Canis lupus familiaris: one gene and its partner. The protein of the gene in region 2 purifies or fractionates together with the protein of the main gene of each other region. This does not show direct contact. Links are inferred from orthologs where the notes say so. Each region holds a gene or a part of one and is shown on either strand. Other genes may lie near its edges.

Region 1 (4,182 bases), on a different chromosome or scaffold from region 2:
TCTCCTCCCTTGCCAGACCCATCCAGCAAAGGATCAGCAACCAGAAGAGAAGAGCCCGAAAGTAATCAGGTTTATTTTGTCCCACCTGGGCCTTAGTTTCCCCACTGATAACTTGGGTAATTTCTGAAATTAGATTTCAAAGCTAGATGCTCCGTGTATAGCTCTACAGTTTTTCTACACACACACACACCCACACACCCACCCCTTGAATACATTCATTAAAATAAATCTGTCCATAGTTACTAAAGAGTACAAATGCACAAATGACAATCAAAATTCTTTCTCTTATTCCCTGGGAGCAAGCACTGTCAACAGTTTGCTTATAATTAAGGTTAGCATTGTAACTTTAAATTTAGACCTCTATCTTATGATTTATCAACTTTAGATTACATTTATCTTTTGAGTACCAACTATGGAAGATGAGGAGCATACACTCACCTTTCCATTAATCTTTCTTTCCTGTTATCTCTCCATTTTTGCTATATTATTTTTCCATTATCAAGGTTAACAATTTGCACTCATAATTTTTTTAAAGACTTTATTTATTTATTCATAGAGACAGAGAGAGAGAGAGAGAGAGAGAGAGAGAGAGAGAGAGAGAGAGAGATGCAGACACAGGCAGAGAGAGAAGCAGGCACTATGCAGAGAGCCTGACATGGGACTCGATCCAGGGTCTCCAGGATCACGACCTGGGCTGCAGGCGGCGCTAAACCGCTGCGCGACCGGAGCTGCCCTGCACTCTTAATTCTTGTATGCTTTGTCTCTGGTGGATTCTGAAGTTTATAAACTCATAAATAGCATTTACAATGTTATCATGATGTATAAATCACTAGAGAACCAAGCATGGATGGACCATAATAAAGAAAATACTCCATGTCTACAGAGCTACTAATCTAATAGACAAAAAAAAAAAAAAAAGCAAAAGAATCAAATAGGTATCTAATAACACTTATTGAACACTTAATATTATGCTAAGCAGCCTACATATATCATTTTATTTAATCCTCAAAACAACCACACAAGAAGCAATTATTAACTCAACTTTGCAAAAAAGAAACTAAAGCTAACATTGTGTATCACTTGCCCACCTTGGCTAGTATGGAGCACCCAGGGATCTGAATCCAGGTATGGCTCCAGGGCCTGAACTCTTCACCACTATACTGCTTGATCATACTATTCTTTCACTTTCCTTCTCCTAGCAATGTCTTATTAGCACCCTGAATAGTAGAGACAATATGTTATTCAACAAGGCAGAACTTCAAGTCATCCTGTCTATATATTAAGCTTGTTTTTGACTACATGTTTTATTCCAAATTTTAAAAAATTATTTAACTGACACAATATCTAGCCTTTCTACTCACCAAATCTGGGAAGCATTAAAGACTATGTTTTATGGCTGGATTTCAAAACATAGTATGGGAAAGCAAAGTGTAGTTCTGACTTTTCCTGTTCACATATTAAGAATGACAGAACATTTAAAGCAGTGGTCCAACATAGAAAAATTCTTTAAAACTCGGGAAAGAAACTATAGATGAAACCTTCTTAAGGATACAGTTATCTCTCTTCTTTGATCTTATTTTTCAATCGGGGGGATAAGTTAAAAGGGTTACTGAATTACCTTGGTTTCTTGCTACATTATATACAGTATGCAGCCATATACTGGGTAAATTTCATTCCCAGTTATTTTTTAATCCGATTTCTAAAATACACAGGTGAAGAGAATCTCATTTATAGGCCAATTCTCTCCTTATGATTTCTAAGTACAGATATTACTTTCCTCCCCCCAAATCAAAGGATCACAGGACCAGATGTAAATCACATTCTCCAGATCTCCTATGGCAGGAGGTTAAGGATCCGGGTTGTAATTATAACCTAAGCCCTGACACCACTTCGATCCAACAAAATACATTGTTACACTGAGTGAATAACTAATTTTGGGCTTATTTCCACTAAAGCTGTTCTTTCAGGAAACAGCTAGTTCACCGTACCTCACCTACAAGTCAGAACCAGCTTTTGAACTATTTAGAAACGGTCAGATGTGGGTTAAAAGGGCATGCTAGTTTCAACAACACCTCTAGAATTGACAACCACTCATTCACTGTCAATTTTCCAAAGACGTAGATACTTGTAATTTGACATCTTTTCTTTTCATCCGTTTACATATCTATCACTCCCTGTAAGCTGTGTGCTACAGTACAGGAGAGTGTGTGACATCTTTGCACGCCGCAGGACCAGCAGTGTCTGGCACATAAAAGTGTGGAATTAACTACGATAAGGAAGTGCATGCTGCAAACAAAGGAAAACGGAGAGAAGCGTTTCAATGGCAAGGTTAAGGAGCCAATTATCCTCTAGAGAAGTACAGACGTTGGGCCCACCCAGGCCAAAATGTAACAAGCGAAGAGGCATCTGGAAGCCACAGTCAGGAATTGCAGTCCTACCTACCTTTACTCTTTATTGTGTCTAGGCGTTGCGGCCGCTAGCCCCGAAGAGCCCGAGGCCTTCTGCCAACGGGCCGCCAGTCCCCGCCTCCCGAGAGGGGTGGGAACACCGTGAGGCTGGACCCTGCCTCGGCCTTTCTCCCGTCCCAGCTCCGGCCATGCCTCGTTCGCGGACTACACTCCGGCCGCGTCTCCCTGCTCCAGGCCATACCATGACAGAGCAATTCCTGTGGACCAAAGGCGGACTCGGTTCACTCACCTACTTGGTAGAGCCGGCCCTCGGGTGAAAAAATGGTAATGTGACGGTCAAACCCAGCGCTGGAACCACGGGACATGTTGGCGAACCCACTACTTCAAGCACTGTCTCTGAGCCCCGTAGCTCCCACACCAGGCGTACAAATCCCCCCGGAAGTTTCAACGACTGCTTCCGGGGCACCGGCGAGCTGCATCCGCTCCTGCGCGCCGAACTCCGGGCTCCAGCGTCAGGCGGGCGCGGAGAGCTCTCCGAGGCCCCGCCCCTCGTTGGGGGTGGGGAGGGCCGGGAGGCCTTCGGTGTGCGCTTGCGCCGGCCCCTGGGCTGAGCGCTGTGCAGAAGCCCCGTGGAACTGGCGTTGAGGCAGTTTAGAGCTTTCATCTGGCGAGTGAATTGCCCGAGGCGAGGACTAAGACCCTTTCTGGGCGCCCAGACTAGTGATCGGCCTACCGGTGGGACTTAAATGGATGGCGTATTTAAGTCTGTCGTTAGTTTTGGGACGTGTAAATCCAGCTTGGGTCTAGATTGCTGGCGTCGTTCCTAATCTGCTCTGTACTCACCCACTTTTCCTTCCTACCACAGGGGAAAAGGAGTTGCAGCGACTGCGGCAGTAACCGCTCATTTTAGGTACGGAAGGGAGCGGGTTCTGGTAGGCACTGCAAAGAGCAGGGTTGTCTGGCCAGGCAAGACCCTTTTGGCCAGCAGCCCCAACAGTTTGTCTTAGAAATGGAACAGGAAATATGGGTGTAATGGAGGAATAGGAGGTTAAGTTGCCTTGATCGATAATGAACAGAAGGGACGGGGCGTATAGGAGGCTGTTGTTGAATGAATTGATGGGAGTAATTCCAAGCGAACTGGGTAGCCCCGGGAGCACAGCAGGTGGCTTTTCAAATTGTAAAATTGCCTATTTTGACTTTTCCCCAAGGCACACTTCTATTTAACCAATAAAAAATGCAAAACATGACTGTAGGCCGGTGTCATTCCCCCCTTCCCCCCTTAGAGTTTGTGCACTAGGAGGGCCAGTTATGCCAATGTTTCTGGCACTTCAGTGCCTGCTGTAAGTAATATCGAAGTAGGGATTCTTACCTTTTCAACATACTTTTTCCTAAACTCATTTTGCATATAGAGGGGGGAAAATGTGTAAGAACCTCTTGAGTTTAAGGAAGCTCCAATTTTCAAGAATGTTTTTTTAAAAATAAACTTCTATTTTATCAACCTGAAAAAAAAATCCAGAACTTAAAGAAAATGCTAAATGCAAACAGCATCTCTGGCACACCGGGTACCTTCCAGCTCTAGCTAATTTCCAAGCGTACTGATAAAAGTTGTCCCTTGCTTCTGATTCAGATCCCTACCCTCAGGACCACCTCCTCCTGACATTTTCAGTGCTTTTTTCCCCTCTCACACTCTGACTTACCCTGGTATATTGTAATTTCCAGACGTTGCCTGAATAATAATAAAGAGTTCTCTGTAAGGCTGCTAAGGAGGATGGAC
Region 2 (3,617 bases):
AGGATACAAGCAAAACCGTGCCTAGAATGGCAACTTCTCGTAAAGTTCCAATCTGATCAAACAGCAACCAAATCTATGCTGGTTTAAGCCAACATTCTGAGTAGTTTTTCCTCCAATAATCTTCACTAATGATGGTGCATTGTACAGCTTCCACAAAACACAGATCCTCTCCATATTGGTTAAATATGATGCTGGAAAAATCCAAAGATTAATTCAGAAATTAGAATATCAGCATAGTGTGGGATGAATTACATACTTCTGTCATTCCATAATGGCAATATAAATATAACCCAGCACTCCAAGACTCTAAGAAAAGCAGGAAAGAGATACTCTGCAACATGTCTTAAATTTGCTTTAATCTCATTCAGAAAGTTTCAATCTCTCAGACATTTCCTTTCAGGTGTTCTAAAGTGAGCATCTCAAAGCTTCATCCCCAAAGTTCAATCATGCTTTTCTTACCTGGTTCTGCTCTGCAAATAAATGATTCTGGCAGCAGCTGCAATCTTTTCACACTTCTGAGCTCAGTGTTGATCTTTAGAGTAGCTGTAAATAAGGAAAAGAGAGACACACAATTCTTTTCAGTTCATTAATGGCCTTCATGTTTTAGCATGGGTTTGCATTTCCCTGTCCCAACATACAAAGGACACGTTACAGAAAACAAAGTGCTCTATGTTTATTTCCTTTCCCTCACAGCAAAGTGTAAAGCTGCCATCACATCAAGTAAAATCACTCTAAAACACCTTTAAAAACTAAAGTATGGGGAAGCCTGGGTGGCTCAGCAGTTGAGTGCCTGTGTTCAGCCAAGGGCGTGATCCTGGAGTCCCAGGATCAAGTCTCACATCGGGCTCCCTGCGTGGAGCCTGCTTCTCCCTCTGCCTGTGTCTCTGCCTCTCTCTCTCTCTCTGTCTCTCATGAATAAAATCTTTAAGATTTAAAAAAAAAAAAAACTAAAGTATGCACCCTTTATATAAAACCCAATAGGTATTACCAATAGCACCTTATTAGTAACTTAAAGATATACAGCAAGGTTAGTAAGAGGCAGTGAAACCATAATAAATCCATTACTTCTAACAAAGTCACTAAAAACTCCACTTATTTTTTTATTTAACCCCTGGCAATGAATCTTTCCTTGTTTATTAAAAGAATCCTGCTAGGTTTTCACATCATCTTTCTAGACCCAAAGGACCAATCTTCTTGACATCACCAGAGGGTTCAAACATTAATCATATATACAAAGGCGCACTTCATCTCATTCCATGAAAGGCCAGTGATGTGCTTATGCACATGTGCCCTGAACAGGAGGTCTTGGGTGAAGGAAAGACTTATGGACACACTGCTCCTTTTCAAAGAATCAAGCCTGGAGTGGCTGGCTGCCACACAAGTCTACAAGTAGCTGATGTGCCAAGAACAGTAAAAGAACAAGATAACAGAAACTAAGAAGCCATGGAGAGATCTAGCAGCCATTCTCTTTATGTTACAGATTCTGACACCAGTGAAGAGAGGCTATTATCCACGATGTTAAAGTGCTTTTCTAAGAAACAGAAGCAAAAATGAGCATGAGCACCTCCTATGTACTGCTGGGTAGCTTCAGCCTTGCAGTTATGATGGGATGGAGCAGAACGACGGGGAAGCAGAAACTACTGATGTTCCGTGTTAAGAACTCCCAGTGGGAAGTTTCACTTGCTCACTGTAATGAACACTGAGGAGACAGAACTAGTCCTCCTGCCACTGGAAAGTCACATCCTGACAAATGGGGATACCACCAAAGCTGTTAAAGCTGTTCAAATCTGAGACTTGAAAGGAACATTTCAAAGAATCTAGTTAGTGATTAAAGGGAAGTAGCAGAAATCACATCACGAGGAACCTGGAACTATCTTTCATTTCAAAGATCAAGACAGTGTAGGATGATGGTTTTCAAAATAAATTTTTGCAGAACAAACATTTTTCAAACAAAATTTTACAAGAGACCTCAATAAATGTAACAGACAAATATGGTGCTGCTCCAGGTTCAAGTGGCAATACGGGGTCTCCTAAGCCGCCTCCTCCACCTCAGCAGAACCAGTAGCTGCTGAGACTAGGGGCTAAGGTGTATGGAAGCAACTGCCTTTGCTCCATGAAAGGTGAGCTCTCCTGGAAAATTGAAAATGCAGTCATTCCAATCTCACCATACTATCTTATCCAGCTAAGGGGATAAACCTTAAAAATCAAAGCAGAGCAGAAAAAAAAAAAAAAAAAAAAAAAGGCAGAGCAGAAAGGAAAGATTCCAGTCACTCCGCTAGCTCTCCAGAATGTGTGATTATGGGCTCGTTCCACAGATCATGGGTAGATAGAGACTTCTGATGGCTTCGAGCTAAAATGAAATACAAAAATGGAATGCAAAGCAATCCCTGTGAAACTGCCAATATAAAAGAAAACTACACAAAGCAACTACTCAGAGTGACCTTCCTGATGGCGCGGGTGTGGGGGACAAGCGCACACACACTAAGGCAGTGCTTAGCTGTGTTTGTAAGCATCACTGTTCAGAGACAGGATCAAAAGTGATCCCCACTCAATCACCTCTTACCACCTCTCAGCTCCAGACCTCGGTCAAAAAAATAAACATAAAGTCATCCACAGGCAGACAGAGCCCATATGTAATAGATCATCTCACTCCAATGATTACAACACCCCCTGAAGCAAAAGCATCACAAGGGTAAGATAGCTGAAGGGCATGGCTGCCCTGGGAGAGAAGTCTGCCGGACTGAACATCAACCCATGTATCCTATGACCTTTCAGACTCGTGTTATCAGCGGCCTAGGGATTAAGAGACAAGAAAAACTCAACTAGATCACGACAGCCAGTCACTGAAGCAGCCGGAAGATGTCTGGAGAGGAACAGGTAGGTCAGCTCTGTAAACTGACAACTGTGGCCGTGCCATCCAATTACCATTTATGACAATCAGCGTTCCCAAAGGCACACAGGTGAGAGCAGCAGAGCCGCCCTCGCAGAGAGGATGCGTGTACTGCAGCTTATACACACCACCTGACTTCCAGTTCTCAGGCATGGACAGAGCTTTAGCCTCAGTCCCCTGGGGAATGAAATGAAAGAAACAAATAATGAGGAAAAGTATTACTCTCATAAAGACTAAAAATCCAAGAGGCCCCTAACTTGTCTGGAAATAAGCATTCCATACAGTCCCCTTAAATAAAGTTTGTCAAATCATTACTATCGTTAGTAAAATTTTGATAGAAAAATGAGACAGGGATTGATTTCTCTCTTTAAAGACTCACATCTCTGCCCAGCAAAGCCCTATCATTATTCAAGACCTACAGCTCAAAGATCATTTTGTGAGTCCTTAAAAAAAAAAAAATCCTGTTTGTCATTCTCTTCTACACCCTAACATTCTGTTCATACTCCTATTGCTACACACTTCTATTATGTTAGAATACATCATATTTTTCTTTTTATTTGTTTCTCTCCCCCGCTTACAGACTCCTTATATCCTGATTTCCCAGCTCAGAGCACTGCATGCTGCGGGTGTTCAATGATCACTGAATTGCTGCTCTACAGCTCTGTTACTCATAACATGGCCCACAGACCAGCAGCATCACTACTGTGTGGGCATATGCAGAGGCTCA

What was found. Proteins that work in one complex are often made in the same cells at the same time.
Region 1: the proteins of FBXO7 (region 2) and PSMA6 purify together in Homo sapiens (affinity purification with mass spectrometry; 3 studies listed by BioGRID and IntAct, with this or other methods). This does not show direct contact. The link is inferred for Canis lupus familiaris from reciprocal best matches to the Homo sapiens genes FBXO7 and PSMA6.

Annotation. Positions count from the first base shown.
Region 1 is NC_049229.1:14,184,358-14,188,539, reverse strand, and holds the start of PSMA6 (proteasome subunit alpha type-6), read right to left. Parts: upstream 2,878-4,182; 5' UTR 2,774-2,877; coding exon 2,698-2,773; exon of another isoform or gene 2,363-2,697; intron 1-2,362. UniProt on the Homo sapiens protein: Component of the 20S core proteasome complex involved in the proteolytic degradation of most intracellular proteins. This complex plays numerous essential roles within the cell by associating with different regulatory particles.
Region 2 is NC_049231.1:31,993,473-31,997,089, forward strand, and holds part of FBXO7 (F-box only protein 7), read right to left. Parts: intron 3,068-3,617; coding exon 2,926-3,067; intron 544-2,925; coding exon 460-543; intron 1-459. UniProt on the Homo sapiens protein: Substrate recognition component of a SCF (SKP1-CUL1-F-box protein) E3 ubiquitin-protein ligase complex which mediates the ubiquitination and subsequent proteasomal degradation of target proteins and plays a role in several biological processes such as cell cycle, cell proliferation, or maintenance of chromosome stability.